3 linked regions of the Diceros bicornis minor genome follow. The protein of the gene in region 2 purifies or fractionates together with the protein of the main gene of each other region. This does not show direct contact. Links are inferred from orthologs where the notes say so. Each region holds a gene or a part of one and is shown on either strand. Other genes may lie near its edges. The genes, in order: U2SURP, SNRPA1 and RBM17.

Evidence for each region.
Region 1: the proteins of SNRPA1 (region 2) and U2SURP purify together in Homo sapiens (affinity purification with mass spectrometry; 5 studies listed by BioGRID and IntAct, with this or other methods). This does not show direct contact. The link is inferred for Diceros bicornis minor from reciprocal best matches to the Homo sapiens genes SNRPA1 and U2SURP.
Region 3: the proteins of SNRPA1 (region 2) and RBM17 purify together in Homo sapiens (affinity purification with mass spectrometry; 5 studies listed by BioGRID and IntAct, with this or other methods). This does not show direct contact. The link is inferred for Diceros bicornis minor from reciprocal best matches to the Homo sapiens genes SNRPA1 and RBM17.

What each region holds. Positions count from the first base shown.
Region 1 is NC_080741.1:10,940,009-10,951,031, reverse strand, and holds the start of U2SURP (U2 snRNP-associated SURP motif-containing protein), read left to right. Parts: upstream 1-5,989; 5' UTR 5,990-6,098; coding exon 6,099-6,143; intron 6,144-11,023.
Region 2 is NC_080744.1:80,357,588-80,367,883, forward strand, and holds the start of SNRPA1 (U2 small nuclear ribonucleoprotein A'), read left to right. Parts: upstream 1-5,962; 5' UTR 5,963-6,011; coding exon 6,012-6,093; intron 6,094-7,772; coding exon 7,773-7,920; intron 7,921-8,894; coding exon 8,895-8,973; intron 8,974-10,296. UniProt on the Homo sapiens protein: Involved in pre-mRNA splicing as component of the spliceosome. Associated with sn-RNP U2, where it contributes to the binding of stem loop IV of U2 snRNA.
Region 3 is NC_080775.1:7,288,127-7,298,693, forward strand, and holds the start of RBM17 (splicing factor 45), read left to right. Parts: upstream 1-5,726; 5' UTR 5,727-5,817; intron 5,818-8,977; exon of another isoform or gene 8,978-9,081; intron 9,082-10,567. UniProt on the Homo sapiens protein: Splice factor that binds to the single-stranded 3'AG at the exon/intron border and promotes its utilization in the second catalytic step. Involved in the regulation of alternative splicing and the utilization of cryptic splice sites.

The sequences.
Region 1 (11,023 bases), on a different chromosome or scaffold from region 2:
TCTTGAGAGCTGGATAGACACCTCCAAAAGTTCTACAGCATCCTTCATGAGGTCTTCCCTGACTCCTCTTACACTGTGCTCCCCCAAAACCACCTCTGATGTAGATTTCATTCATTGGCAAATATTCATTGAGTGCCTGCAGGGTGCTTACTGTGCTCTAGGCACTGCAGACACAGCAGTAAACAAATCGGATAAAATTTCAGTCTTCACTTATTACACTCTTATTGTGACACATCTGTCTCCTTTATGCCCTGTTCCTTCTCCGCCCACAGGGACCTGTCTCATCCCGTCTTCACTGGAACCACACCGCCTACCCATTGAATTCCCCAGTAACAATTTCAGAACTCAACTGATCTGAGATGACTGTATTTATTAGGACCATTCCCATGTCAGTTTTCTGGTAAGATCAAATCTGTACCTGACAGCCAGGGACAAAATACAGAAGCAGACAGTTCATTTTAGATCTGGTGGTAGGCTGAATAATAGCCCTCCAAAGATGTCCACATCCTAATCTCAGAACCTACAACTATGTTAACTTCCACGGCAAAGGGACTTTGTGGATGTGAGTAAGTGAAGGCTCTTGAGATGGGGAGATTATCCTAGATTGTTGTGGTGGGCCCAATGTAATCATGAGGGTCGTTATATGCGGGAGGCAGTAGAATTACAGTTAGAGAGAAGATATAAGAATGGAAGCAGAGGTCAGAGAGGAGAGAAGCTAGGCTGCTAGCTTTGAAGATGGAGAAGGGGCTACGAGCCAGGGAACATAGGTGAACTCTAGAAGCTGGAAAAGGCAAGGAAACAGATGCTCCTCTAGAGCCTCCAAAATGAACACAGGCCTGCTGGCACATTTTAGACTTCTGCTCTCCAAAACTATAAGAATACATTTGTGTTGCTGTAAGCCACTAACTTTGTGGTAATTTGTTATGGCAGCAACAGGAAACTAATTGATTTCTACCTGTCCTCCCTCCAGTCTGCCCTCCCCACTGCCCATTCTTCCTGGTGCACAGAACAGGACATTTCGACTTTGTTCCTTTATTTTCTCAAGTCACGGAGATGTCCTAATTTTTCTTAACACAAGCCTGTAACTGTTTCTCTAACAGGGTTGTCTGACCATGGGCATTCTTTGGCATATCACTAGGGTCCCCGAGTTTTCTATGAGAATTTAAAATTCTATATTTTCAGTTCCATGGTTAGCTAAAAAATGAATATGTAATTCAACTTACAACCCAAAAGTCAGCCACATCCTCATAAGAACACTAAAAGCATTCTCACTAAAGTCAGGAATAAGACAAGGATATCCATTAGCACCACTCTTACTTAATGTTATTTTGGAGGTACTGGCTAATGCTATCACACAAGAGAAAAACAAAAGATATATTAAAAAATATGGGAGAAGAGGAGGTAAACGTGTAGTTATTTGCAAATGATATGATCGTATACCTGAAATTCCAAGAGAAAAAACTGAAAAACTACACAAATAAAAGAATTCAGCAAGGTGGCTGGGTATAACATTAATGTATAGTAATAAATATAAAACACTAATTACTTAGGACAGATATAAATAATGGAAAAACTTATTCTATTTGTAGTAACAACAGAAAAGAGAAAACAACTAAGAATTAAGGTAACAAGAAATATGCAAAGTCGATGTGAAGGAAAGAGAACAAAACTTGAAAAAGAAGAAAGCTATGCCATGTTTTTTGACAGAAATTTCACATTATCATTACCATGACAGCCGTGTCAAAATAAAGCCTTCTGTGTTTAAGACCACTGCAGTTGGACTTCTGTTACTGGCAACCAAATGAAATTGATAAGAGAAATAGTTTTGTTTCATTTTCTTGTCATAACTTCATTCTCCACCTAGCCTTTTATATTATCTGGTCTTGTCTCAAGAGTTTTAATCTTCATGGGGATACATAGGCTCCCCACTGGCAGAAGGCAGGTCATAGATTAAGTGAGGCCTGATCTCTGGGTAGTCCAAGCCACGCCCAACTTTGGACTGCCACGCCATGGCATGTGGGGACTCCCTTGGAGATGTTGCCCTCTGCCAATTGCCATGGGCATCTTCAGTCTTTCTTTGTCTCACACGCACATACACACACACACACACACACACACACACACACACACTCATTTAGGACCACCCATTTCCACAATACTCCATCTGGACCATCCTAGGTTTTAATATCTTGTTGATATAATAATTGCTACATAGTAAGGGTAATCTTCTAACCAGGATCATAGCTAAAATAGCAATTTTTATTATTTTCAACATGTCACCAGCCCATTCTTGGGCTATGTGCTTTTTGACACCATTTTTACATATCTTTTACCTCCTGGGCATTTGTAGTTTTAAACAATGCCACCGCTAATTATTATTGTCAAAGGAATTCTAGATATCATCAGTAGATAAGTCGGGTATTTTTGTTTTGGTGAGGAGGGAAGAAAAGGGAGAAGCTGCTATTGCCACTAAAATGACTTGTCAGGCTAGCGTGGTGCGGTGGTGTGGGGCGGGCAATCGACTTCATTAGAAAGAATCTTCCATTCCACACACACCACACCCTCCTTGAAGGCTGTTCCCTATTTCTAGAAGCCGCTAGGATCCCTCTTAGCGGAAGAGCTCAGTCTGATTTTTAGCTTTCCCTCCCTCCCTCCTTATCTTCTTTCTTCAGAGCTTGGCACATGCTAGAAATTCAATAACTGCCAAACCAACAAATGGATGAGACTGTGCTTTCACCAACCTCTATCCTGAAGCCTAGAGAGCAGGGAGAAGCTGCTTAAAAACTCTCTAGAATGAGAGTGCCACCAAGTAGGAGCAGTCCATTGGCACAGTACAGGAGATTTTAGCTTTGGGCAATCATTTTTAAGGTCTCTCTCTCTCATTGTGTATATTGTTAAATGCTGCTTTTGTTTCAGCCTCTTCACTCCACCTTTTTTTCCTCTTATTTTAAAAGAAATTAAAACATTTGGGAGGCCTCTAAAATTACGGTGGGCCCTAGGCAATGAGCCTTCGGTTCCTAATGGATAAGGCAGTTCTCTTTGGTGCCTGGGGGACTGATTGTTCAATGTGTTGATCATCACCCCTGGTAAGACTTAAATTCTACAAGAGATGTAGAAAACTCAAATGCTTCCCAGCAGGCGGGGTGTGGGGCATTTGTCCACTGTGTGTGTGGTGAAGGCCCTTCCAGAGAGGTCACTGTGACTCACCTCCACTGGACTGTTGCCAGACTTCCCCATTTTTCAAGAAAAACTGGAAATCCTGAGTATAAAAAAGTAAAATCTCTCAATTTTAAAATACTAGCCAAATCAAAGAAAAAAATTTCCCTGCTTGAGTCAAACAAAATACCTCTGTGGTCTGCATCTGGCACTACTTGGTAATCTCTGCTGAACACAGCTGCAGGGAGGACCCTCAAAAACTGGTGACATGTGGCGGACTAGAGAAGCAACACATCAGGGAGAGAAAAATGGCATGGTTTTAGTGTGATTGTAAAAAAGTTAAACTAACTGTGGTAAATTGTATGATTTTCTTGCTATTTATGTGTAGTCCCTTGGGAATAGTTATTGTGAATCTAATTAAAAATCTCAGATTCTGTAAAATTCCATTTGTACTATATTCATGCTATCTCATCCTCCTTAATTTTTGGTTTGAGTAATAGGGCCAAGATTTCATGACTTATACGTATTAAGGAGAACTCTGCTCATAACCTTGATTGTGAGTTTCTAAAAGTGTATTTAATTAGGTCTTAATAAAGCCCTATGTATGACTGGTAGTCAGGTCACGTTTGTCTGACTTCCTTTGGGGTTTTAGCGTATGAAAAAGAAGAGAGGGAAGAAGTCTGTGTTCCTTTATTTTTAGCTCTTTAGGGGTAAACATTTAGTAAAAAGTATTTTTATGAGAAGTAGGACTTTAGGGATTTGAATGAAAAGCATGCATATATTCACTTTACAGTGACAGTCAGCCTGCAGCATTGCTAGCACGGACAAGGCACAGCCAATCCTCCTCCTTCCTTCATCTCAGCTGATGGTTTCACTTTCTAATCCTAGATTGTAAACAGACAACTAAGATCCAGTGTGATGAGCATCCGGAGTGGGAAAGTATAGGTTCCTATGGAAACAGAAGCAGAGTCTCTAACTTAGGCTTGGTGGAGTAGGGAGGTCTGAAAGTCCTCTTGGAGGAAGTGACATCTTCAACAAGAGTAGAAAATTGATTAGCCTTCAGAGGCCAGGACAAGGGTGGGAGAAAAGGCCCAGAATTGAAAAAGTGTGACAAGATCTGAGACTGGAAACAAATTCAATTGGACTGGAGGTTGCAAAGCATCATTCCATTTTAATTTCAACGCATAGCACTTGTCACTTTCTGATCATTTCTTGTTTGTTTGCTTACTTATCGTGTGTTCTTCTACCCCATCCTCTCACACAGAACAGACCCCCTACCTGCTGATTCTTCAGTGCCTGCCACATATGACTATTAATCTTCCCTGAGGGCCTGCCACGTGTCAGATCCTGCTTAAGTGCTTCCCTCACCACCATCCCAACCTCCCCTTCCCTGCCCTCCCACCAGCCAACAGACAAAATTTTACTTCTTTAGAGTTGGCTCAAATGCTTCCTTCTCTGTGAAACCTCCCCCATCTCATTACCCAACCCTACCCTCAGAATTAATTACTTCTTCAGAGTTCCCACAGCTATCGATCCTTCCTTGCAGGATCAATTTAATTCTGCATAGTGTTATTTCCCTTGTTTGTCTCCCCCATTCTGCATTAAATAATTTGATTTAAAAACACATTGATTTTAAATCAAATGTGTTTTTATTTGTCTGTAAGTCTCTCAACACTTTGGGCAGGCTTTTATACACAAAATGGGGCTCAAAAATATTTTGAATAAATGAATTAGAGAGAGAAGGTTATGAACCCTTCTTCTTTCTTCCTTCCCCAAGTCCCCAGAGCAACCTTTTAAAACTTCAAATCTGACCACATCAAAGCCCTACTTAACCCTGTTGAAGGCCACTCTTCATTCTCTGAGTTCTAACTCATAAGCACACTGGTAACCTCAGGGCTCGTGTGATCTTGCTCCCATCCACCTCTCCAGCCACGTCCCTCCCTACACCTGGTCTAATAAAACCTGACTGCTTATGGTGCCTGCAGAGTGGGCTGTACGGACCCATGCCATCAAGCTTTTATTCCAACTACTCCCTCTGCCTGGAATGCCTTTCCATTATCCTTGCCTGGCTCGGTTCAGGCATGACCTTCTCAAGTAAGCTTTCCTTCTTTGAAGACAGATCCTATTAAGAACTTTAAAAAAGTTCTAAGTACAGAAAAGTGTGCGGTGCTCCCCTCCATTTACGTGTTTAAAAATGAAAACAATACTAAACTGTAAAACGTAATTCTTAAACGATACATAACTTACGCGTTTGCTAGATTTAGAAAGCCACCTATTTATGATTTTCTCATTCACCCTCTCTCTGCAGGTACCCATTTTGTAGATGCCCCAAACAAGAGTCTATCGGATCTCCCCACTGCCGGAATCTCAGGCTGAGTCAAATACTCCTCTCCGCTTGCCGGGCACAACTCTATCTTACAGTGACTGGAGCAGATGGCAAGTTTGCCCTTTTCACCAGGGCGTGAGCTCCCGAGGCGGCGCAAACACCGTCTTTGTCCCTGGAGAGCCGGACCCTCCAGTTGGCTCCAGACTTATCTTCGGAGTTGAAAAGCTTCCCCCCAGCTGACCAGTGCATTTCTTCTTTAACGACCCGTTCCCTCCTCGCCCAGGAAAGAAAACTGGCTCACCCCCATCAAGAGTTGGCGCTGGGAAAAGAGTGAAGTATCAGCGGCCCCCCAAAGTCAGGACGACGACATTCTCTAACTTCCCGGGTCCAGGAACCGAACCAACAACCGAGACACCCACGGAAACCAAGGGAGTGGGCGTGGCCTGGGAAGGACTGACCCCGGAAGTCACGTGGCGCAGCGCCGCTCGAATCCCTCATCTCCGCAGTCGACTATTCAGCCTTGCAGGCGCCTCCGGCGGGCTCCGCTGAGATCCGCTCTTTCGGCGCTCGACTCGCCCGTGCTGCTGTCGCCGCCGAAGGAGGGGCAAAGCGCAAGATGGCGGACAAAACGCCAGGCGGATCTCAGAAGGCCAGTTCAAAGGTAATTTCTTAGAGGACTTCGTAAGTCAGTGAGTCTGTCACTGTCGTGTGGGGTCTACTGACGCTTCTGGCCAGCGGGAGGAGGTTGGGGTGGGCGTCCGCGTTCCGGTCGCGGCGGTCGGCCGGGGCGCCGCCGCACGGTGGTGCGCAGGTTGAGAGGCCTGGTGTCTCCCCTTCGTCCCGGCCTGGATTCGGCTCGAGACCGGCGGGCCCGGGGGGTGGGGTGGTGGCGTGAGGAGTTCGGCCCGCGCTCGGCACTGGAGTGAAATCGGGGATTTAGATCGAGGCCCGGAGCCGTGAAAACGCGCCCGTGTGTCTCGGCTTATTGCGCCCTGGGGCCGCCGGACAGCGCCGGGGAGAGGCGGGAATCGCTCCCTGGTGCTCATGGGTCTGTCTGTCTGTCCTCGGTTCTTTGGTTTTGGATCTCACAAGCTTCCGGCCTCTCTCGATTTCCCTCACGCCCTCCAGGGAATAAATAACCTCTGGGGCCGCGAGTTGAGAGGCAGGGACCAGTGGCGGAGGGACGCGGGGTGGGAAGTGCAGAGGCGGGAGCAGCGCTCCTTTGCGGTGCTGCATCGCCAAGGTTAATACTGTGCTCTCCACGTGGTCTCACCTCGCTTGAGAGCAAGCGTAAAGCGGGCTCTTGTTTTGAGGGCTCATTTTCGAGGACTCCTGCGTCTCTATGTTGCGTGTTCCACTGAAAGGAGAACTTCCGTGGACTTGGAAGCCACCTAAAATTAGCAAATTGCTTTTGCGTTTACAGGGAACTGTGTGCACGTATTGTGAAACCATTGAGCTGTAGAAGTAGTTTAGTGTTAGTTAGTTGTGGTTACTATCAGGTCTTAGTTGCTATCTTGGGCGGGTCATTTAATCCTTTTTTGCCCTGTTTCTCATCTCGAACACGAGATTAAAAGTAATAGATACTGTCCGAAGTAGGTGTTAAGCTTTTTCATGCAGATGCAGGAAGTTTTGTGACACCTAAACAGGGACTGTTACATCTTAAAGAGTGTGTATGATTATAAGTCGGTTCTTAGGAAGTTAAGTTTACCGTAGAAGGGGCGAGTCTTGCGTTTATAGTTTGTTCTGAGAAACATAACTCATTTTATATTTGCTTTTTCAGTTTCTAATAAATCATAATTTGTACGCCGTTTGGTGAATGATATTCATAATTAGTTCGTAGTTAGTAATGGCTTTATCAGACATCCTTTAGTTATGTAGAAACTATGGTTCAAGGCCAGTTTTGGCTGCTTTACATCCTGTGTCTGCTCTTTGTTAGTTTCTTCCCTCCCCAGTACATTTCCCCTTGAGGAGGAGGGGAATAGTTGGGTACCTCTCTCTGCCCACTTCCCCTCAACAGACTCATGACAAAAACAGCCCTGCTTACTATTAGGGAACTATTACAAAAGCTAACTACATCCATAATAATTGACGCACAAGCTTCACAACTTTTGTTTCTTCTCAAAGTAATATTTTAAGTATCTCCTATTTGAGGCCTTGGATACATTGAAAACCTTTTAATATATGTGTTGTCTTCCTTCTTTAGTACTTCTCATGGTTGTGTGTGGCTGTTCTCTATAAGTGAATTGTTGGGTCTTGCAGTAATCTTTTCAGTTTATATTGCTTTAGATTATCATCAGTTGATGCTATTAAGAGATTTCCTGGGCCGGCCGGTGGCGCAAGCGGTTAAGTGCGTGTGCTCCGCTGCGGCGGCCCGGGGTTCGCTGGTTCAGATCCCGGGCGCGCACCGACGCACCGCTTGGCAAGCCATACTGTGGCGGCGTCCCATATAAAGTGGAGGAAGATGGGCACGGATGTTAGCCCAGGGCCAGTCTTCCTCAGCAAAAAAAAAAGAGGAGGATGGCAGATGCTAGCTCATGCCTGATCTTCCTCACACACACACAAAAAAGAGATTTCCTACTGATATCTGTAAAAAGAGAATATCTCAGGACTCAAATGGTATTGACGTGACTTTCTCCATTAATATGGAGGATACATGATGCAGTAGAAAGATTATGGATTTTGATAACAAACGAGATTTGGATTCAAGTTCTGACTTGGCAATTAATTATATTTGTGATATTAAGGCAAATTGCTTAAACTCTTGAGCCTCAGTTACCTCATTTATAATATGGATATAATCCCTTTTTTACAGGATTGTTATAAGGATTAAATGAGTTAGTGTCTTAGTTTCTTTCCCTTCTCCTTTTTGTTTATAGAGGAAATAAAAAGTACTTTTCAAAATATCAGGATAAATTCTAATCTTGAGATTTAGAATCGAAGTCATCAACTATCATAATGACTGCCCAGATTGTTGTTTATTTCTAACACAGGTCCAGAAATTATTGAATAGAGTCTTAAGATGATTTTGACTAATACTACAGTATTTGGAATTTCTAGCCTTTGATCTCTGTGATTTGATTTCCCTTCCTCTGAGGAGAGCAGATGAATGACATATTCTACTGTACAGATGGAGTGAACAGATTCTTCTGTTTCGTGTTCATTCTTCTTCTTTGGTAATTAAATCCTCATTGATATAGGTAGGGATGCTTGTTAATCATATTTCTAGACACCGAGGAAAGTGTTAATTTTAAAATGTGCAATATACAAGATTTTTGCCATTGACAATGGCAATATTATTTGACGTGTCTTAATTATAAAATAGATTAGATAACCTCTACCGTTTCCTCTAGCTTTAAAAATTACATTTAATGTATTTATAGCCAGATGACTTACTTTTATGAGTAGCTGTCCCCGATGAAGAGAGGCCGGGCCCTTTTATTTTCTGTGTAATTTTGCTGTACTTTTCATTTTAAGGCCTGGCAAATGTAGAAATTCAGTAAATGCTTTAGGAATGAGCTAAAATTTTCCTATACATTTATTCTTGTTTATCACCAGACTAAAACATTACTTTGGGGGACAGGGGTGTTGGTACCATGTTGTAGCTTTGATTTGGCGACGAGAGACAGAGAGAGCCTATAACTGTTTGCTTAGAAATTTGTTAAACATATTTCTTTAGAATTTAATTTATAAAAGTTAATTTATTATTTTGATTTTAAGAGTTGTTTTGTTTGCTTGCTTAGTATAATGAGGATATAAGGGAATGTGGTATTTTCTTTCCTTCTGCATCTCCTGTGCTGGTAATACTGCTAATATAATTGAATTGTGTGCCCTGTTACTTCGCTCTGTGACAATGCTTATTTTTTTACCATACAGTCAAAAATTGCGTTAGAGAGATAAATGAACAAAGTAGAAAATACTGCTAGCTTCCTTGACATGCAGTCAGTGCTAAATTGGTTTGGGAACTTTTTTTCTTTGCTGAGGACAATTCCCCCTGAGCTAACATCCACTGCCCATCCTCCATTTTGTATGTGGGATGCCACCACAGCAAGGCTTGGTGAGCGGTTTGTAGGTCCGTGCCCAGGATCTGAACCCACGAATTCCAGGCCACCAAAGAGGAGTGTGCAAACTCAACCACTACGCCATGGGGCCAGCCCTCAGAACTTCCACTTTTTTGACTGGTGCTCTTTAGAAGCTTGAGTATTTGCAGCACTGGTGCTTGACTATGACTATTGATATGGTTAAAAAAATTCCTATCTTATTGGATTGAATTGTTTTCTGAAAGTCCAGTTTTTATTTTCTTTTGATTTTTTTATTCCCGAAGCTTTCTTTTTCCTGGAAAGTTAACCTATAAAAGATACCCGTTTGCCTTACTGGCAAATGAGAGGAGGGCTCATTTGGTTTGCAAGTTCAAGACTCCTGCCTCTCTACCTCATTTTATAGAGCATAATTTTTTTGTGTGTGTGTGAGAGGAAGATTAGCCCTGAGCTAGCATCTGTTGCCAATCCTCCTTTTCTTGCTGAGGAAGATGGGCCCTGGGTCAACATCTGTGCCCATCTTTCTCTACTTGATATGTGGGATGCCTGCCACAGCATGGCTTGACGAGCGGTGTGCGGATCTGCGCCCGGCATCCAAACCTGCGAATCCCATGCGGCCGAAGTGGAGTGTGCAAACCTAACTAACCACTGCGCCACCGGGCCGGCCCCCAAAGAGCATAGTTTTTGAAATAAAAATAAAAACTTGCTACAGGATGTGAAACTTGAAAACACTAATATTACAAATGATTTATCTCTTATTCTATTATTAAGTAGCTTTAGCATTTTATTGCAGACCAGCCATGTGCTGGATAATTTGCTGAAGTAACTTTTTTGAAAGCAAGAAGTGCTTTGCCTATAACACTTGAGGCCCTTTGGTACTGTTAGATGTCTCTTCCTTAAGGAGTTAAATTTTTTCACTAGGCCTTTCAGTTTAGATAAACTACAGGACATTCAAAATGTTCTTACAACTTTTCATGTATTGGTAGTGTTTTGGATGTAATTTTAAAGATCATTTCAGGTTTATTATTTAACTTTATTATGCATAGTGCATGTCTCAGCGATCTTAGAAAGGTTTTTGAGAGGTGGACTTTGGTTTGGCTTGGAGAGTGATATTAAGCTAGGTAGCTCCTACTTGTTAGTGAGTGAACAGCATAGTGTATGTTGACATTGTGGAGTGTAATTTTGTTGGGTAGGTATTTGTTCCAACAGGTTAAGTCAACAAGTATATCGAGGCTCATCACTTGCCAGATCTTATGCTTGGCTTTGAGGAAGAAAACATTAAATAAGACCCTACTCACTTTTGGGGAGCATGCTGTCTAGTGAAAGAATTGAGTCAGCACTTAATACTACAAGGCCAGAGCTATCAGAAGTGTTTAAGTGTAGAGAAAGAAGTGACAGTTGATTGAATGGAGGGTGGGGAAGGAGAAGCTTCGGAGCATAGAGGAATTTGATTGAGTCCTTTTGAACAACGAGCAGAGTTTTGAAGGGTAGAGATAGGGGTGTAAAA
Region 2 (10,296 bases):
CTTTCTCCATCTGACTTATTTCGCTTAGCATAATACCCTCAGGGTCCATCCATGTTGTCACAAATGGCACCATTTCATCTTTTTTTATGGCTGAGTAGTATTTTTGAATGGAAGACCTGAAACCATAAAACTCCTAGAAGAAAACATAGCCATATGCTCTTCAACATAGGTCTTAGCAGTATCTTTTTGAATATCATGTCTCCTCAGGCAAAAGAAAGAAACGAAAAAATAAACAAATGGGACTACATCAAACCAAAAAGCTTCTGCACAGCAAAGGAAACCATCAACAAAACAAAAAGACAACCCACCAAGTGGGAGAAAATATTTGCAATTATATATCTGTCAAGGGGTTAATTTCCAAAATATATAAAGAACTCATACAACTCAACAACAAAAAAATGAACAACCTGATCAAAAAATGGGCAGAGGATATGAACAGACATTTTTCCAAAGAAGATATACTGATGGCCAACAGGCACATGAAAAGATGTTCAACAGCACTAATTATTAGGGAAATGCAAATCAAAACTACAATGAGATATCACCTCACACTCATCAGAATTAAAAAGACAAGAAATAACATGTGTTGGAGAGGATGTGGAGAAAAAGGAACCCTCATACACTGCTAGTGGGAATGTAAACTGGTGCAGCCACTACGGAAAACTATGGCGATTCCTCAAAAAATTAAAAATATAAATACCATATGATCCAGCTATTCCACTTCTGGCTATTTATCCAAAGAACATGAAAACACTAATTTGAAAAGATACATGCACCCCTATGTTCATTTCAGCATTTATTCACAATAGCCAAGACTTGGAAGGAACCTCGGTGCCCATCAACAGATAAACATTTTTTTTTTTTTTAATCCAGCAAGAAAAGGGCCAAGTAAAACCAGCTCTCTGGTCTAAGGACGCCACCTGGTGGTCCTCTCTGGAATTAAGTGAAGTTTGGATTGTTTTAACTTTTTAATTTTGAAACAACAAAGCAAAATTACAAAAAAGTTATAAGCACAGTAGAAAGAAGTGTTTTCCTTAACAATTTGAAAGTAAATTACCTATATGATACCCTATTACCCCCCAAATACTTTACAGGGTATTTCCTGTAAACAAGAAGCTCTCCCACATAACCATCAGAAACAGGAAATTAACATTGATACATTACTGTCATCTAATCTCTCTGACTGGATTCAAGTTTTTCCAATTGTCTCAATAATGCCCTTAGCAAAAGGATCCAGTTTAGATCACTCTTTGCATTTAGTCATCATATCTCTTTAGTCTTCTTCAACCTAGAACAGTTCCTCAGTCTTTCCTTGACTTGCATGAACTTGAACCTTTTAAAGACTACAGGCCAGTTATTTTTAGGCTGTCCCTTAGTGTGTGTTTGTCTGAGGTTTCCTCATATTTCGATTCAAGTCATGCATCTCTGAGAGGAATCTCACAGAAGTAATGCTGTGTTCTTCTCATTGCATCCTATTAGGTGATACAGGATTTTCATTTGTTCCATTAGGGGTGATATTAACTTTGATCACTTGATTAGGTTTTTTTCCCTTGGCTATGAAGTGATGATGCCTGCTAAAGGATGTCCACTATCACCACTGTCCAACATTGTGCTGACGATCCCAGCCAGTGCAACGGGGCAGAAAATAAAGAACCAGTACAAGAATTGGAAAGGAAGAAAAAAATCTATCATTATTCTCAGATAGCATGGTTATGTACGTAGAAAATCCAAAAGAACGGTTACAGATAAACTATTAGAATTAATAAGTGAATTTGGCAAGATTGCTGGATATATCGATTGTATTTCAACTGTAAATCAACTGTATTTCAATACACCAAAAACTAATGATTAGAAAATGGAATTTTTTTAACCAAAGGTACTATTTACAACAGCATCAAAAACTATTAAATACCTAGAATAAATCTAGTAAGAGTTGTATAAGACCTCTACACAAAAACTATAAAACACTAAGAGAAATTAAAGAAGATCTAAATAAATGTAAGGTTATACCATGTTCATAGATTGGAATACTCAATATTGTAAAGATATTAATACTCTCCAAATTCATCTATAGAGCCAGTACAATATAAATCAAAGTATGGGTTCTTTTTTAGATACAAGATATATCTAAAATTTATGTTAAAATGCAAAGGGCAATAATAACCAAGACAATCTCAAAAAAAGTGGGAGCCCTTTTTTGAGGCAAATATCAAGTTTTTAAATAAAGCTTATTATTAGAAAGACAGTAAGATATTATGCAAGAATAGGCAGCTAAACCCATGGAACAGAGCAGCTAGTCCAGAAGCAGACCTTCACATATTCGGACACTTGATTTATGAAAAAGGTGGCAGGGCAGTGGGGAAAGGATGGTCTTTTCAATAAATAGTGCTGGGTCAACTGATTATCTATATGGGGAAAAATATATCTTGATCCCTACCTCAGACTATACACAAAAATCTGTTTCAGACAGATTGCAAACCTAAATGTGAAAGGTGAAACAATAAAGCTTTTAGAAGAAAATATTTATGACTTTTGAGTAGGCAAAAGTTTCTTAAAAAGGACTAAAAAAGTATTAACCATATAGGAAAAAGTTCAGAAATTAGACTATATTAAAATTAAGAACTTCTGTTCATCAAAAGACACCATTAAGAGAGTGAAAAGGCAAGCCCCAGAGAGAGGGAAGATGTTCACTGTAAATATTTCTCACAAAGACTCATATCCAAAAAATATAAAGCACTCCTACAAATCAGTGAGAAAGGACAGCTCATTAGAAAAATGGGGGCCGGACCAGTGGCTTAGCAGTTAAGTGCGCGCACTCCGCTACTGGCGGACCAACGCACCAACGCACCGCTTCTCAGGCCATGCTGAGGCCACGTCCCACATACAGCAACTAGAAGGATGTACAACTATGACATACAACTATCTACTGGGGCTTTGGGGAAAAAAGGAGGAGGATTGGCAATAGATGTTAGTTCACAGCCAGTCTTCCTCAGCAAAAAGGGGAGGATTAGCGCGGATGTTAGCTCAGGGCTGACTTCCTCACTAGATAGATAGATAGATAGATAGATAGACAGACAGACAGACAGACAGACAGGTAGGTAGGTAGATAGATAGAAAGAAAGAAAAATGGGCAAAACACCTAGACAGACACTTCACAAAAGAAGCTATCAATAAATATATTTTTTATATATGGACAATAAATATATTTTTTAAAGTTCTCAACTGTGTTAGTAATTAGGGAAATACAATTAAAACCACAATGGGATACCACTACCAACCCACCAGAATGGCTAAAATTAAAAAGAGAAACGGCCGGCCCCGTGGCTTGGCGGTTAAGTGCACGCGCTCCGCTGCTGGCGGCCTGGGTTCTGATCCCGGGCGCGCACTGACGCACCGCTTCTCTGGCCATGCTGAGGCCGCGTCCCACATACAGCAACTAGAAGGATGTGCAACTATGACGTACAACTATCTACTGGGGCTTTGGGGGAAAAAAATAAATAAAATTATTTAAAAAAAAAGAGAGAAACAATACCAAATATCTAGAGTGTAAATTGGTACAATCGCTTTGGAAAACTAGCTACTTAAGCTGAACACAAGTAAACCCTATGAACCAGTAATTCCATTTCCGAGTCTGTATTAGAGTATATGTGTTCGCTTAAAGATATGTATTATAATGTTAATAGGTGCACTATTTTTGATAGCTCCAAATTGGAAATTACTACATGCTCATCAACAGCAGACTAGATAAACTGTGGAATATTCACACAAGGAAATACTATATAACAATGGGAATTAATGAACTACATCTACACACAAACATATTAAGCAAGAGATACATAAGGTACAATTTCATTTTGCATAAATACAAAACTAGGCAAAACCAATCTATGCAAGCTGTTAGATTAGTGGTTACTCTGGGGCAAGGGTGTAACTGGAAGAGGACAAGAGGGGGCTTCTGGAATGTGGCAATGCCTTGTTCCTGATCTGGATGCCAGTTGCTTGGTGTGTTTAGTTTGCATTCTGCTGTATGTATATCATACTTCAATACAAAGTTAAAAAAGAATCAATTTCAGGTGGATTGTAGAGCTAAATGTGAAAGGTAAAACAATTTAGCCTCTAGTAGATAGAGAAACATTTGAAGGATGAGGGAAGATTTCTTAAACAAGACACATCTGCAAACACACACACCCACAAACCATAAAGGAAAAGATAAATTGAACTACATAAAAATTAGAAACTTGTAGTCATCAAACACCATTAAGAGTGGAAAGGCCGGTAAGCAGAAAACCCTTTCCTCTCCCAGACCTCCATGACCATAGTGAAACTGTCCCCCACAAAAGAGGGCAAAAGACACTGTCAGTGGGTAGGGCATCCTGAGCTAAGAAGCTCTTCCTCTGATGCCTCTTCTTGAGTGGGACCATTTGGACCATATTTCTTACACTGTTGATTCGAATTGCAGCCCCAGTTATAATTTTGTGATTTTAGGAATAGGATGTTATCTTATGCAGACCAAAATGGACTACAGTTGGTGTTTTGCAGCATTGATGATGTGTATGAGGACAGTGTCTCTACTCTCTGTGAGTTCTTTGGTACCTAAGCAATTTTAACCCCTCCAAAAAAGAGTGAAAGGCTAGCCACAGAGTGTACTCATACCCAGAGTATATAAAGAAATCCCATAAGTCAACAAGAAAAAGGCAGACAACAGAAAAAAAAATGGGCAAGTGACTTGAATGGGCATTTCGCAAAAGAAGATATCAGAATGGACAATATACACATGAGAAGATCCTCAACTCCATTAGTTATTAGAGAAAAGCAAATCAAAGCAATAGGGCAATACCACTACACACCCACCAGAACCGATAAAATTATAAAGACTGACAAAGCCAATGAGGCTGAGGTTGGAAGCGATGGCAACCCTTACACACGGCTAGAGAGTGTGTAAATTATTTTAGCCTCTTGGCATAACTGTTAGGCATTACCTATTGATGATACCATACCCTCTGTCCCAGCAGTTCCACTTTTGGAGATACTCAGGCACATGTGCATCGGATCCATGTACAAGAAAATTTATAGATAGCAGCATTATTCAGAATAGCCCCAAACTGGAAACAACCCTAACGTCCATCAACAGCAGGATGGATAAGTTATGGTGTAAAATATACAGTGGAATTCTATACGGTAGCGAAAATATACCATTGCGGAATGCAACCTGGATAGTTTCCAGGCATAATACTGAGCCAAAGAAATCCGGCACAAAAGCATACTGCGTGATGCTATTTACATCAAAAGCCAGCAAAACTAGTCTATAGTTTTGGATTCGCGGTTGCCTTTGGGGAGGGAGGGAGGATTTCAAAACATTGGGGTTTTTTCCTGGGCCCGTGCGGCAGCTACGCAGGTGTGCTCACTCTGTTGTCATTTGTCACGTTGCAGACTTCTGATGTGCGCACTTTTCTGTACACCATGCTTCAGTATAAATATTTAAGTGCCTAGAGACCACAGACCTAACCGCAAACTCGACCGTGCCTGGAGCGGGTGACCCAGCCCAAGTTCTCACGTTACAGCCCAGGGGTCAAAGCCCAGGACAAGGTCGTGAACCTGAAGTCCTGGACTCTTCACTGGACCCCACGGGCGCCTGCCCCTCCTGGGTGGCGAGAGGACAGACGCAGCTTCCCCTCCCACCTCAAGGTGCACTGATGTATGTGAAAGTTCCCCTCGGGTGCTTCCACGTTTTGCGTAACTAGAGGACACGAATGTCTGGAATCAGAGGCCCTCCAGACTCCAGATACGCCGCAGGAAAGACGCCAAATCCACAGACGCCCCACAGCGCCAGGACCTTTTGAGGAATGAGCCCGGGGGCGTGGCTCTTCGATTGCTTCTGCCTGGATGTCGAGCTGCCGCGCGCGCGCCGGTTGCGATTGGTGCTGCCTGGCGGCGGGGCGCGGGGCACGCCGGGACGGCTGTCTGGCGGGAGGCGGCGGGCCGGCCGGGACAGCGGGAGCGGAGGTGGCAGGATGGTGAAGCTGACGGCGGAGCTGATCGAGCAGGCGGCGCAGTACACCAACGCCGTGCGGGACCGCGAGCTGGACCTCCGCGGTGAGTCCGGGCCGTCCCCCGGCCTCCGCGCGCGGCCCCGTGGTCCGCGCCGCGTGCGCCGAGGGCCGGAGCTTGGCCCGTGGGCCTGAGTTCTCGCCCCCGAGCTGGCCTGCCCCTGGACCGCCCAGGCTTGAATCCTGCCGTTGTGGCCCGAAGACCATGCCTTGGGCACTTCGGAGGTTCCTCTTAGCCCTCGCTCCTTCTCGCACACACGCGAGTAGATTGCTTCCTGATCCCTACCCGCGGGCCTCAGTCAGGCCTCGCGTGGCTTGAGGACAGGGAAGATATACTTGATGTTAGTGGTTGTAATTCTAGTGCTGAGCGCGTGGTTGGTCTCAGTAAATATGTTCAAGTGATATTGTGAGAGTATACCTAGAATACGTGTTGATTATCTCTAATTCACGAGGGAGAAAACGAACGTCGGGAACAAAAGCGATTGTTTCCCCAATATTTCCTTCTTAGCTTCACTTGTCTGGTGTTTTCCTTTATCAAAACATTTTATGGAGTGAACGGTTTCACGAGGCTTGCGTTACCGAGTGCCGGGTGTAATTGGCGGAAGCTCTCCGAACTGTTTGGATTCCTGTAGCTGTTTGAACCTTAGTAAGGCTTGGTGAGAAACTGGGAAGGCAGCTATCTAATCGGCATTTCAGGAGGTGACTTTAGGAAGGATGTGAAAAGCAACTTGTCTGGGGATAAGATAGTACAAGCTTGGCCTGAGGTTTGCTCCCATGGGGACAACACGGTCTCAGGGGCAGCATTGATGCAGCTCTGCTTTCTGCTTGGATCCCTTGCTGAGAAAGCCCACTGCTTTTATTTTGTTGAAATTAAGTTTCTTAGAGAAAGGTTCAATTCGAGGGTAACTGACCGCTTTCGCTGTCTTGGCACAGGTTGATCTTTGCCATCGAAGTCTGAAGTGCATGAGTGTTGAGGATGCTTATCTTGGTGTGGCAGTCACTTGGATGTAGCCCTTACCACTCTGAATTGTGTACTTGAACTTGGGCTGGGTTCATTTCTTTTCTTCTCTTGCACCTGGCACAATAATTATGCCCATATTAGACAAATCAGTGAGTATTTGAGTGAATTTTTCTCAGGGTGATTTACTGTTGTGTATAAACCGTTGACCTTCAATCCTGGATTGGAGCTGGGGAGAGGTGAAGTAAGGGGGAACTGTCATGACATCATGAGGCTATCCTGATGAATTCTATGAATCTCGCATGTGGGAATGCAAAAGAGGTTGAGAACTGTTGCCCACAACGTACGAACAAGGCTTGGACACTGACGATAAGCAGCACAGTGTAAATTCCTGTTATACCGCTTAGCTGGCTATGGGGCCTTGCTTACAACAGTGTGAGACACCGTGTAAATACTCTTACAAATGTTAGCTACCAATATGACTGTTAGTAAGTATCCTCATCATCATTGCCCTTGTCATTGTTGTCATCACCATCTTCATGTCCAGTGCTAAAGTGTAGGCTTCATGGCAGCTGGGACTTGTGACTCTCCTGTTCCTCATTTTATGCGCCAGTACCTTGCACAGTGTTTGACATGGCATAGGTGCTAGGTAGACACTTTCTGAATAAATGAAAGCTTTGAATCAAATTATCATGAAATACTGCTAATGTTTTAAGGTACCTTCAATTATATTAATACTTGTGTGTTTTTTCTCCTCCATTTTACAGGGTATAAAATTCCTGTCATTGAAAATCTAGGTGCTACCTTAGACCAGTTTGATGCTATTGATTTTTCTGACAATGAAATCAGGAAACTGGATGGTTTTCCTTTGTTGAGAAGACTGAAAACATTATTAGTGAACAACAATAGGATATGGTAAGTGTTTGCTAGTGGAAAGTAATTTTTTCCCCCTAGAGTATTTGTCTCAGTGTTCCCTGCAGAAATTGTCGTACGTACTGCCAGTTAAACCTACATATTTCTTCTTAAAATGAGAAAGGAGCTGCACTTTTCCCATACAGATCCAGAGGTTAACTTAGCATTGGTCTAATCTTCCTTGCATCTATTCAGAAATCTTGTATATTTATATATTCATGGTAAGTTTCAAATTTAAATTAAAAACATACTGCTTTGTACATTTTGATTTCTAAAACAATGATTATAGTTATCAAAGGGATCATATTAAAAAGATATATAAAGTTCAACAGTTATATTTTTGAGCTTCTCTTTCTACCTTATATCCTCTGCCATTTGTTTTTCTTTAACTAGAGCTGATTTTTAGAATTCTTATTGAAATTGAGATTTTTTTTGGACCCTCTTTCGTCATCTCTGTGTAGATTTTATCGGAGAAAAATTATTGAAGGTCTGTAGACAATGTCTTTAGGAAATACTGGGTGGTGAGTTACTTTTTTTGAATAGACATATTTCTCATAGGTTAACTATTCCTTATGGTATAGTTGTATGTCTTGTACCAGAGCTGTGAATGCAGAATCACTTGTAGTTCTGTGCTGCCTGCACAGAAGTCATGAAGTGAGCTAAGTAGTTTCTTCTGTGCGGGAGTTTCTCCTTTTTTTAGGTTTCACTAGACAGTGTGGTAGTGGAAGGAGCCCCAGGCAACTTTCAGGAGGCCTGGGTTCTCAAATCATCCCACTTCTGTCGCCAACCATGTGGCCTCAGACAAGTTTTCCTCTTTGCGCCTGTTTTCCTATTTTCCCTCTGTCAGATAGGGTGTTGGAAGGAAGATCTCTAAAGTTCTTCTCACTTTGAAGTCAAATGCTCTGAGCAAGGATTTAGATACAATTGTTAGCTTACTTACTTTTCTCTTTCACTAAGTCTTTTTGTTTTTATTTTAGCCGTATAGGTGAGGGACTTGATCAGGCTCTGCCCTGTCTGACAGAACTCATTCTCACCAACAACAGTCTTGTGGAACTGGTAAGTTCAGCAGGGGAAAAATGTATTTGGGAGAGGAGTTAAAGGTACTACCTGCTTCTTATAGAAAATTTGGAAAATCCAGAAAATTTTCTCATCGTCCTTTTTCTTTGTCTTTGTCTTAATTCAGGATCTGAGCCTTTTTTTGGTTACATATATTGGGAATATCTTTTCCCACTCTGTAGCTCACCTTTTGATTCCCTTAGGGTATCTTGATAGAGAAGTTCCTAATTTAATTGTAGTCCAATTCATCAGTCTTTTGTTGTTGTTGCTAGTGCTTTTAATGTTCTGTCATGTTTCCCCTACCCTACGGTCATAAAAAAACTTGCCTCTATGTTGTTTTCTAGAATTGTAGTCTCCACTGTGATAGCCACTAGCCACAAGTGGCTACTCTGAGTTGCGATGTACCAGAACTGTAAAATACACGTCAGATTTCAAGACTTAATACAAAAAAAATAATGTAAACTATCAGTGATTTTTTTTATATTGATATTGAAATGATAATATTTTGGATAATAGGTTAAATAATAATTAATTAAAATTAGTTTCACCTGTTTTTTCTGTTTTATTATGGCTACTGGAAAATGTTCAGTTACATATGTGACCTGCATTAAATTTTGTTAGACCATTCTATTCTAGAACCTATTGTTTTACTCTTCACATTTAGATCTATGATCCACTTGGGATTGGTTTTCCTATGGGATAAGGGGCAAGTTTCATTTTCTCTATTTGGATATGATTATTTTGACCTATTTCTTTTTATGCTTTTTAAATTTCTGTTCTGTGTGTATAACTTTTAGCACAATTGAGCTCATAATGTATATTGTTTTGTAACCTGAATTTTTCACTTAAACACTGGATGTTTAAGTCCGTGTTATATAACTTGGTTTTGGGTTATTATGCCTTTCCCTCCCTTCTCTCTTTCCCTCGTTGTTCCTTTCCTAGTAGACTGGGTCCATAGCTTCCATCAAATTCTGAAAGGAGTGCTTGACTTCAAAAGTAAGAAAGCACTGGTGTGAGGCCGTGTCCTTTCTGAGATATATGAGGTATTCAACCCAAAATGCACATTCATAGGGAATGTGTGGCATTATAGGGGCTGTTTGTATTTTTATGTTTATGTATTTTCTGTTTATGTATGGATTTTATGTATGTTGTAATTGTATTTAAAGCTGTTTGCAAAGATGAAGACTGAATTTGTCCTATCAGTTACTGAAAGAGGTGTGTTAAAATCTCCTATGTTGGGGATTTGACAGTCTCCCTGGAGTTCTGTCAATTTTAGTTTTATATATCTTGAGATAGATATATAGATATATATATATATATATA
Region 3 (10,567 bases), on a different chromosome or scaffold from region 2:
TGGTAGGGAACAGCCTGCAAACCAGAGGCATCCAGAGAATTAGGGAGGCTTGGTAGACAGCAGATTCCACATGGAGAGTCCCAAAGGCTCTGGGCCTCATAATCAGGGCTTTTGAACACCCACCTGTGCTTAGATCCAGGAGGAGTGGGGTCAGGGGTGGGGGGGAGACCCGGTCTAGACACCTTCTGTCTTTGCTCTCTGGGCCATTTCTCCTTCAGAGCTTGGTAGAGAGCCAGAAACTATCAGAGGCACTCGGGAAACTCATTTTATTTCTTAAATGTTCCATGAACATATCCTACTTCAAGAATGACTTCCCCTCTCCTTTCCATTAACCACATTTTAAGTCTGCCTCTAAGCCTGGCCCAAGCCTCCTTTCTCTCTTGGCATTAGCTGAAACCAAGCATTCACTTTGGAATCAGGTGTGTGTTCACGTCCTTGCTGTGTCACTTGCTTAACTATGCCCCAAGAGAAAGTCATTTCACCTCATGCAGCGCCATCTGTGCAATGGAGATAATACTACATCTGCACAGAATTGTTGACTGTTACACTCCCTCCCCTCCCCCACCCGGTGCATGTGTGAGGCAACAAAGGGCCAATGGACCCTACCAGAGAAACTTTGACCCAAAAAAGGTAAATATTAGCGTATCTTCCTTTTCAGGGCATAATGCAGCGCTTCACACAGTGTTTCACGTGGAAAGTTTCCTCAGACTCCAGTATGGGCGTCTCTCCCCCTCCTCAGTGTTTCCTGCTGAGAGAAAAGGCTAACATCTTTTCTTTTCACTCACTTCCATGCCGCTCCTGGCCCTGTCTCCCTACTGGAAGTCTCCACTGGGACTTCAGCCCCCACACCTTGGCCACACCAGACTTCAGGACAGAGAGAGCAGCCCACGCATCCTACTTCTCCCTCACTCCCCTCAAAAGGAAGCATCCAGAAGCGTCCGGAGCCCCCGAGAAGTGTGGCTCTTTTCTCGCTCTGTTACGGACTACAAAAGTGTGTGTCTCCCTCAAATTCATGTGTTGAAGCCCTACTTCTCAATATGATGATATTAGGAGGTGGGGGTCTGTGGGAGGTAATTAGGTTTAGACGAAGTCATGAGTACAGGGCCCCCAAGATGGGATTAGTGTCCTCATATGAAGAGAAAGAGACCGGAGCTCTCTGCACCCTGTGAGCACACAGCAAGATGGTGGCTGCCTACAAGCCAGGAAGCTGGCCCTCACCAAGAACCAAATCCGCCTGCCTCTTAGACTTCCCGCCTCCAGAACTGTGAGAAAATCAGTGTCTGTTGTTTAAGGCCCCTAGTCTGTGATATTTTGTTACAGCAGCCCCAGCTGACTAAGACACTCTCACGGCTTTTTGCTCAAACAATTTTCATAGGGAATTTCCATTTTTATGGTGTAATTCTACACCATGCTACATGAGGATTAAAGTGAAGTAATGTAAGTAACATGCCAGTAATATAAGGAAAGAGTAAGGCCTACACAATCAGGGTTCTGCATTTAGCGCTCAAAAAATTGCCAGCGTTGCTTAACCAGAGCAGCTAAGAGAATAGCCCGTTTCCTTGTACAAATCTGCCTCTCTTGGGTTATGGAGATCTTTGCTTGGTGCCTGTCTTGTAGGATGTGGAGTGGGAAGATTGGCTTTCTTACTTCCAAGTCCTGAGCTGCAGATCACTCCCATTCTCTGCTAATGGTCAGGTTCAGTTTTCACTTCAAGCACTAAGTCTTTATCAATTGATTTCTACAGGGTTTGCTCCATCTAACATACTCTGCAAAATACCAGGTGCTATAGATGGAATGTTTGTGTCCACCCAAAATTCATATGTTGAATCGTAATCCCCAAAGTGATGGTATTAGAAGGTGGGGGCCTTTAGGAGGTAATTAGGTCATGAGAGTGGAGTTCTAATAAATGGGATTAGTGCCCTTATAAAAGAGACCCACCCCCCCCCCCAGAGAGCTCCCTTGCCCCTTCTGACATGTGTGGACGGACTAAGACACCAGGCAATGCTTACTTATTCAGCTGGCACCTGCATGGTCCTGCAGTTGCATTCGAATAAATAACAGACCTGCAAATAAAAAAAGAAGAAGAATGAAAGCACGGAGAGAATGGCTGGCCGGCTGGTGGGCTGCATTGATAAGTGCGTAGACCATCATGGGTCCAGCTTGTGTTCTCTTCCAAAATTCACCCAGCCTGTGGGCAAATAACCTTGTTCATGTCTATTTCATCTGTTCACCAGGTCTCTGGACCCCGGGGATGAGTGCCATGTCCTATAATCTGTCTACTCACCTCCTGCTGCAGACTGGGTGGAGCGACAGCCACGGGTCTACCTTGTCTCTCTCCAATGGGATCTGGATCTCCTGCTGGGTTGAGCCACCGCCTGCTGTGTCTAAAACAAAGTTCCTTCCACTGAGAATTCAGTCTTTCAACTTACCAGTCACTGCACGTCTTCTTACCCCCAGGCTGCCCTGTGAAGGGCATGCTCCCTAGAGTTGTACGCACCCTGCGTTCACACCCTGACTTTCTCTTCCTAGTTGTGTTACCTCTATCAAATTCTTCAATATGTCTCAATTTTTCCCACCCCCCTTCCCTTCAGCCAGGGCTGATATGCTGTGTGGTCAACCACAGGATGCTAGTAGCAGCAGTGCCCTTTAAGAAGCCTTCGGATTCCTCAGCTAAGCCTAAATTTGAGAATCTGGTCTACATATGACCCTGAACCTAAGCCTGAGCACGTTTGAACTGGCAATCTGGGTATCCCTCCCGGAATGATGCCCCTGCTTTGGAAATCCTCACCTCTAAAATGGAGCTGACTCCACAAACCCAAGTCTCCAAGCCAACCCCAGAAATAAACCCTCCGAAGCCAGGACTGATTCCTCCAAAACTGCACCCAGCACTCCAACCCTGAGCACGTTGTCTTACTGCCAGAACGTTCTCCTTCTCACCTAGAGCTGATCCCCAAAGCCCGGGGAATGACCTTACTCTAGGACTGAGAATTTCTGTCCTGATGCTGTACTATTTTATTTAGGATTTTTGCACTGAGAATCATAAGTGAGAATGGGCTACAGTTTTCTTTGGGCTGTACTTGGGTGTCACTACTGTGCTAGCTCCATGGGAGAAATTTGAAGCTTTCCTTCTTTTTCTATGCTCTGGAACAGCACATCAGAATTCACTGGCCCTAAAGGTCTGATAAAATTCTCCTGCGGAAACATCTGGACCTGGTGCTCTTTTGGAAAGGCTCTTGGCTTTTCTTCCCAATTTTTCCTGTGATAGTTGGTCTGTTTAAATTTTATAACTCATCTAAAGTCCATTTTGAGAGATTATGTTGTCCTGAAGAGTATCTGTCTCTTCCAGATTTTCCAACTTATTTGATAAAACTGAGCAAGGTCATCTCTTAAGATAATTTTACTTTCCTCTGTATTTGGAATTAATTCTTCTTATTCCACATTTTGTACATTTGTGCTTTCTCCCCTTTTTCTTGTTTAATTAACAGCTCACCTATTTATTTTCAAAGAATCATCTCTTGGATTTATTTTTTTAACTCTATATTTTTCTGTTTTATATACCATCAATTTAGGCTTTTATCTTTATTAATTACATCTTTCTGCTTGTCAAAGGTTTATTTTGTTCTATTTCTAACTTCTTGCATGGGTGCTTAATTTATTTAGTTTATTCTAAATTTTTAATTAATATAATCCTTTAACACCATGAGTTTTGGGGCCGGCCCCATGGCTTAGTGGTTAAGTGCACGCGCTCCACTGCTGGCGGCCCAGATTCGGATCCTGAGCGCGCACCGACACACCGCTTCTCCAGCCATGCTGAGGCCGCGTCCCACATACAGCAACTGGAAGGATGTGCAACTATGACATACAACTATCTACTGGGGCTTTGGGGGAAAAAAATAAATAAATAAAATTATAAAAAAAAAAACATGAGTTTCCTCTTAGTACTATTTTAGCTAAATCCTATGGGTTCTGATATGTCATTTTCATTTTCACACTTTTCTAGGTATTATTTATTTGTTTTTGTTTTCCTTTTTGATTCAAATGTTGTCTAAGCATTTAAAAATTTCCAAGGGGTAGGAATGTTTTATTTTCTGTTTTATCATTAATTTCTAGTTTTATTGAATTCTGATGAGATAATATTATCGATATGGTTCCACTTATTGGAATATATTAAGATTTTCTCTGTGGCCTAAAATGTGGCCAATTGTTGTGAATGTCCCAAGGATACTTAAAAAGATGTAATCTCTGTTTCAGGGTACAGAGTTTGATATATTAGATCAACCATATTAATTATATTTTTAGATCTTCTTAATCCTCAGTTATCATTTATGACCTTAATCTGGCAAGGACTACAACAATTATTTCTGACTATTCATTCTCTTTATATCTCCTCTAGTGTTTGCTGTGAATAATGAAATTATGTTATTTGGTGCATAGATATTCCTATTTTTTTCTTCACTGTGAATTTTAACTCTTGTGATTATAAAATGCTCTTCTTAATCTCATTAAATGCTTTTTGCTCTGAAATCAACCCTGTGTAATAGTAAGTTTGTGATCTGTTATTTCTTTATGCTTGTATATTCCTGGTATACCTTTTCCAGTCTTGCATTTTCAGACTGTGATAATCCCTCTATTTTGTGCATTGTCTTGTATGCAACATAGAGTTCTGTTATAGTTTCTGTTCCAATCTGAAGTTGTATTATTTTTTAAAATAGATAAATTTAGCTCATTTACATTTATTCATGTAAGATGTTTGGTCTTAGTTCTGTCATATTGTTTTGTTATGCTTTCTGTTTTGTAGCTTTTTCATATTTCACTATGTGATTTTGTTTAGTTTGTTATAGTTGTGTTTTGATAATTTGAAAGGTTTGTACTTTTGTTCTGGGTTACCATAATAATGATAATATTACTTGATGTCCTAATCATCTATTTCTTCAGATTGTCTACTGACAACCTACCATATTTCTTTCTTTTCTCCCTTTCCTCCCTTTTCATAATCACCAGATTTTAGTTGATTATATTGTTTCTTAGCATGTTCCTTTGTACTAACATGTATACTTAAATCTCTACTATTTATCAGCTTGAAATATTTTAAACCCCAATTACAGGCGTGAAAATCATATTTACACGAAATCCTATTTTCTCTTTTCCTCCCAACTTTTGTTATATCATTTTTAAACTGTGAGGCTTTATAACATTTACGTTTTTTCTATCACCCTAAACTCCATGTCTACTGTTTTCTTAGTCGTACACTTAATTCAATGCTTGCTGCCATTTCTTTTGCAGCAGTTTCCCGTTCATCTCGCCTCGGGGGATTTGTTTTCAGCTTTGTGCATAGAGATCAATGGTTTTGAATGAATGAGAACGAAGGGTTAGGAGGGATTCTCCCTCTCTCTCCTATTAGAACGCACTTGGCTCCCAAAGACGATCTTTGCCGCCTTGGACCATTTCTCGTCCTCACCATCTGGGGTCACTGCCGGGCTCTCCTACGAGTCTGAAATTTCACAAACTTGCGCCACCGCGACACCTCTTGGCGGCAGAGCAGGACGCCGGCGGAGTGGAGGTGCAGTGTGGTCCTCCGGCCGGCAGGCGGCGCGGCGACGAGGCGCCCGCGGCGCAGGCACAGGAGCGCCTCTCTCCCGGCCGCACGCGCCCCCTGACCCCGCGCCGCGCGCGCCCCGCGGACTCGGCGTAGGAGTTGGCGCCGGCTGGGGTCCGGCGTCGCGGGTCACTCCGAGGGCGCCCAGCCCGCCCCCTGCGCGGCGCCTCGGCCCCGGTGTGCCGCCACGGCCCATGGGGAGAGTCGGCCGGGCGGCCCGGGTAAGTGGCGCCGGGGCGGGCGGCCTGGCGGGGCGCCGGGGCGCGCGCCTCCCCGGGCGGCGCTGGACGCGAGGCCGAGGCTTTAGGCCGCGCCGCGAGGGGGCGGGAGGTGCCGGCCGCTGGCGCCCTCGGCCTTCAGCCAGGCCCCGGCCGACCCTTCGCGTTTCTCTTCGCGCCCCGCCGCCGCTCTTGTCTATTTGCCTCGGGTCCCCAGGCCCTCTCCCTCTCCCTCTTCCTCTCTCCTTCCTATTTTTCCCTTCCCGTCCGTCTGTTTCCGTCCGTTTTGGACCCGAGGACGTTTTCTCCTCCCTTCTGTTGGTGCCGTTGTGAAGTAGTTGCTCGGTCCCTACGGTAGCCAGGCCCGTATTACTTGTGGCCCAGCACGTCTGCTCCCCTCCGGGGCCCGGGGAGTGGGGAGGGAAGAAGCCACTTCCTTCCCCGGCTGCAGAACGGGGCCTCCAGAGGTTGACAGCTCTCCGAGTCGGGGTTTACCTGCAGGGAGACACGACTCCGGCGTTACTTCGGTCCTTGTCCTTCTAGAGCGGGGTTTAGCTCTCATGTCCAGTCATCGAGCATTTTTTGAGCATCTCCTCTTGCCCAGATCATATGTTATGGACAGCGGATGCAAGAGAAATAAGATTCTGTCCTTGCTCTCGAAGTTTAGTCTCTAGGGACACAAGCATAGAAATCCTTGATCTAAGGGACTAGAGTGGAGTCTGGAAAGGCTTCCAAGAGGGGGTGATGCTTATAACTGAGTTTTGGAGGTGTTTTGTTAGATGTGCAGGATGGGGAAAAGGTTCCCTGCAGGGCAGGGGAGATAAGTGTCAAGGCAGCAGAAGAGAAGCACTGTAGTGCATCCTGGAAACTGCGGGTAAGGCAGAGAGAGGTGTGAGGAGGGGTAGTCGGGTCAGATCAAGAAAGTTCTTTGAGAAGTCAGTAAAGGAGAACCGTTGAAGGTACTTACTGGTAGAACCCAGCATAGGAATGGAAAATAGGATATTCTGGGTAAGGGCAAGATGCTGCATGTACTCAGGTAGATGGGGACTGTGCCTCCTGGCAACAAGTGGAGTGTTTAAAGGATGCAACTGAGTTTCCACATTTTTAGGGGGTAAAGACAGCAGACGTTTTGACTATAATAAGGATATTTAGGGACTATGGGATAATATATTAGTAACTTAAACCGAGGGTGTTTTATTTTTAGAATTTTATTAAGAAATGTGCTGCATGCTGTACAGTTTAGAATAGAGTAGATTGTGAAACAGAGAAAAAGATAACAGGGTGTAATAGAAGTGTTATCAGGGCAGAGCTATTCTGATTGTGGAGTACTGTGATAACTAAAAATAGCCTTTATGGAAAATAAGAATTTGGGGAGAGTTGTTGTGCGTTCCCAAATGTAACTTTATAAAGTGGATTTCTTTTTACCTGGTTTGTTTTAAATTACCTTCAGAGAACAGATGATCCAGGGCTGGTAATCTCTCAAGTCTTTCCTAGTAGTCAATAGTGAAGGACGTTCTGTTACACACCTCGATTACAGGTGACTCTTGTGGACTTTGTCTGCAATACACTCCAGCCTAAGGTATTTTGGTAATCATAGAATCTATGAGAATGGGTGGAAATGCTAAACTGTGACAAGGGTGTCAGGGTTTTGGGGGAAAGATGTTTTAATTCCTTCAAAAGTCATTATAAATCTTATATATGAGGCAGATGCCTCTTATTACCTGTATTTTTGGTGAACATCAACGTGCATTGACCCTCATGGTTCCCTTCCTGCTCCTTTGTGTCTGCATATACTTCCCATATTCTTGAGGCTTCATTTTCGCTTTATGATACATGAATTATCATTTTAGTGGTAAAAAGCTCTGCTCTTACCAAGCCTGCTGTTTAGGTGCTGAGAAATCAGACCTCGACTCATTATTAGTTGTGTGGTGGTAGTAGTTTTTCTTCTGTTATTTATAGTATACAATTTAATGTTTACCATACTTATTAAATCCCACTTACCATAACTTATGTCCCTAAAAGACAGATCTGGATATCTTATTGTTTTATAATAATGTGATTTAAGGAGGTGCATTAACATTTTCCATCCGATCACTGATAAGTTTAGAAAATATCAAGTGCTTGCAATGTTCCGAGCATGATGCTGAGCTAGAGATACAACAATAAGACAAAAACAGCCCTTGGCTTTAAGGAGCTTATCATGTAGTAAGAGACAGACGTGTCAGCCATAGGCAGCATAACATGTGAAGGTTGCTCTGATCCGAGTGTGTTCAGGGGAAACAAATGGGGCATAGTTTTATGTGGGGGTGGTAGTCACCAAAGGCTTCAGAGATGCTCTTGAGAGATGAGTAGGTGGGGTGCTTCTGAGAAGACTTGTTCCATGTTCTTTTTCTGCCAGTTGCATGTGTTTAAAAAAATACTCTGCCAGCTTAGGTAGAATCTTGGAAAGTCATCATTCTTCTGGCAGGACCATGTTTACTGTGTTTCTTCTTAAGAAAAAAAATGGAGCATATATGAAAGATGTGTTGATCAAAGGGTAGTGTTACCATAAAAAAGTAAGTAGTGAGCAGGTATTTTAAAGAAATTATGAAAACCAGCTGTTTGTATTTGTGTTCGATCCTGGCCTCTTAAAGTATATCCAAATGTTAGAAAGTGCTACTTTTTATTACCTGGCTCCAGACTTCGTGAAATAAATGTGTTAGATCATCTAAGTGACATCCCAGCATTAATTAGGTTCAGTTCAGGTCCTGGCAGAGTCTTGTCAATGCCCTTGTTACATTTCAGTGGTTGCAGTGGGGAGAATGAATGAATCAATTATGGTGTATTTATAAGTGCTTAAAACGGCTAAAAGATATATACACGCCTTTCAAAGAATAGATGCAATAAAGCTATGTAAATGAAATTGTATGAAAGGAGGAAAGCAAGCATTCGTGAGAATGGGGTTCAGGTTGCTGCTCACCCCTGGGCAGGGAAATCACTTGAACGGGATGGGGGGCCATATGGGGTCAGTGTGGTTTCTTGCCCAGATCCTGTCTCTTGTTTGGGTGGCAAATTCACTGGTGCTTGTAGCATTGTAGCAGATAATTAAAAGCAGGCCATACATGCATGGATGGATAACGAGTGTGTTGTTGCTCTGATTAATACAGTTCTGTGAATTTGAAGTTCGGTGAAAACAAGAAAAGTGAAGAAAGCTCGTCTGCATTTACTGTGATGCAGAGATCTGGTTTATAAGTTCTGCATTACTGAAAACTAGCAGATGCTGATAAGGTAACATCAGTTTCTAATATTTGAAGTGTGTTTTTGAAGATTTTGAGAACAGAAACAGGAACTTTAACTAAACATAAGATTTTGCTGCATAATGATTTCCCAAGCTTGCAGAGCAAGGTAAAGCAAATGGAATTGTCAGCAAACCATCTTCAATCTAGAAATGAAATGGAATCAGAGGAAGTATGGTCTCATGAAACTTCATTAATTCAGCGCTGAAATCTTTGTTAAATATTGAATTCTTAGGTGAAAGAACTCTGTTGGAGGCAGAACTCTGTACTGCTTAATTTTTTTAGCTCTGAAATTTGGGGAAATATTTCTGTCCGAGTTTCCTCTTCTGGGTAGAGAGATCTACTAGTGTTAATTAAACAGCAACCTGTTACCTCACACCCCCTCCCCAGCAGTGGTTCTCCCCTCCCTCTTACCTATTTTTTTTATTGTAGTAAATTATACATAACGTAACGTTTGCCATTTTAACCATTTTTAGGTGTATAGTACCGTGGCATTAAGCACATTCACATTGTGCGGCCATTCTACCATCTGTCTCCAGAACCTGTTGCCTACCCTTTAACTTTCTGTTGGAACCTGTGGGCATTGTGTAGTTTCACTGCTGATTTATGGGGCTAAATAGATCTTATTGAATTATTAATATTTCAGCAGTTGTTTATTAAGTGCCTACTCTGTGCCAGAAATTGGAGGTGCAAAAATGAATAAACTAATCTTTTCCCTTTGTAGTTTAGTGGGCATTTGGTTACCTTAGTTCCGTTGGCACTAACATGCTGGTAAATATCTTTTTTGATGAAATTCTCAAGTTTCTTATGAAGAGCTATTGGGAGAAATAAAGTGGAGTTTGGATTGTAAGCAAGCTTTGATGACTTATCTTTGTTTATAATTTCCCAGAAAGCTTTGTTTGTTTGTTTCCCAGAATGTGTGAGTCTTCTCATGCCTTTATAAGAGTAAAGAGGGAGAACAAATGAACCTGTAATTTCCTAGGCTTCGGTTTGGTGACCAGTTGAATGAAGAGGGCTCAAAAAATTAAACTAGGTTAGGTGAAAGATGCACAGTCATTTCTGAAGTAGGTTTTTTTTTTGGGAACCACAATAATCTGGACATTCAGCATTGTTTTTCTTTGCCATTGCTCTGTTTGAGATTTTCAAATTAAATTTAAAGTTTAAGGATATGTCTAGATAAGAACAATCAGTTTTGAATACCAGGCAGCCTGGGAGAAAAGTACAGGAAAGCCTCTGGAGCTCTTTGGTGCAGCGGTCTTCCTTTTAGCCAAAGTTATTGTTGGCCAGAAATTTCTGAAAAGATGGATTGGGAGGGGTTTGCAAATCGAGTGTTAACTGTGCAGTTGGCCTGACTTCTAGTCAGCGCTGGGTCAGTCATTGATAGTCTGGGAGAGAGCAAAGAACTCAACAAACTGGCTCTAGGTTTTCACGGAGTTTACAAGAGCGTGGATTAAAATAGGTTCTGAAGCGGAACCCAG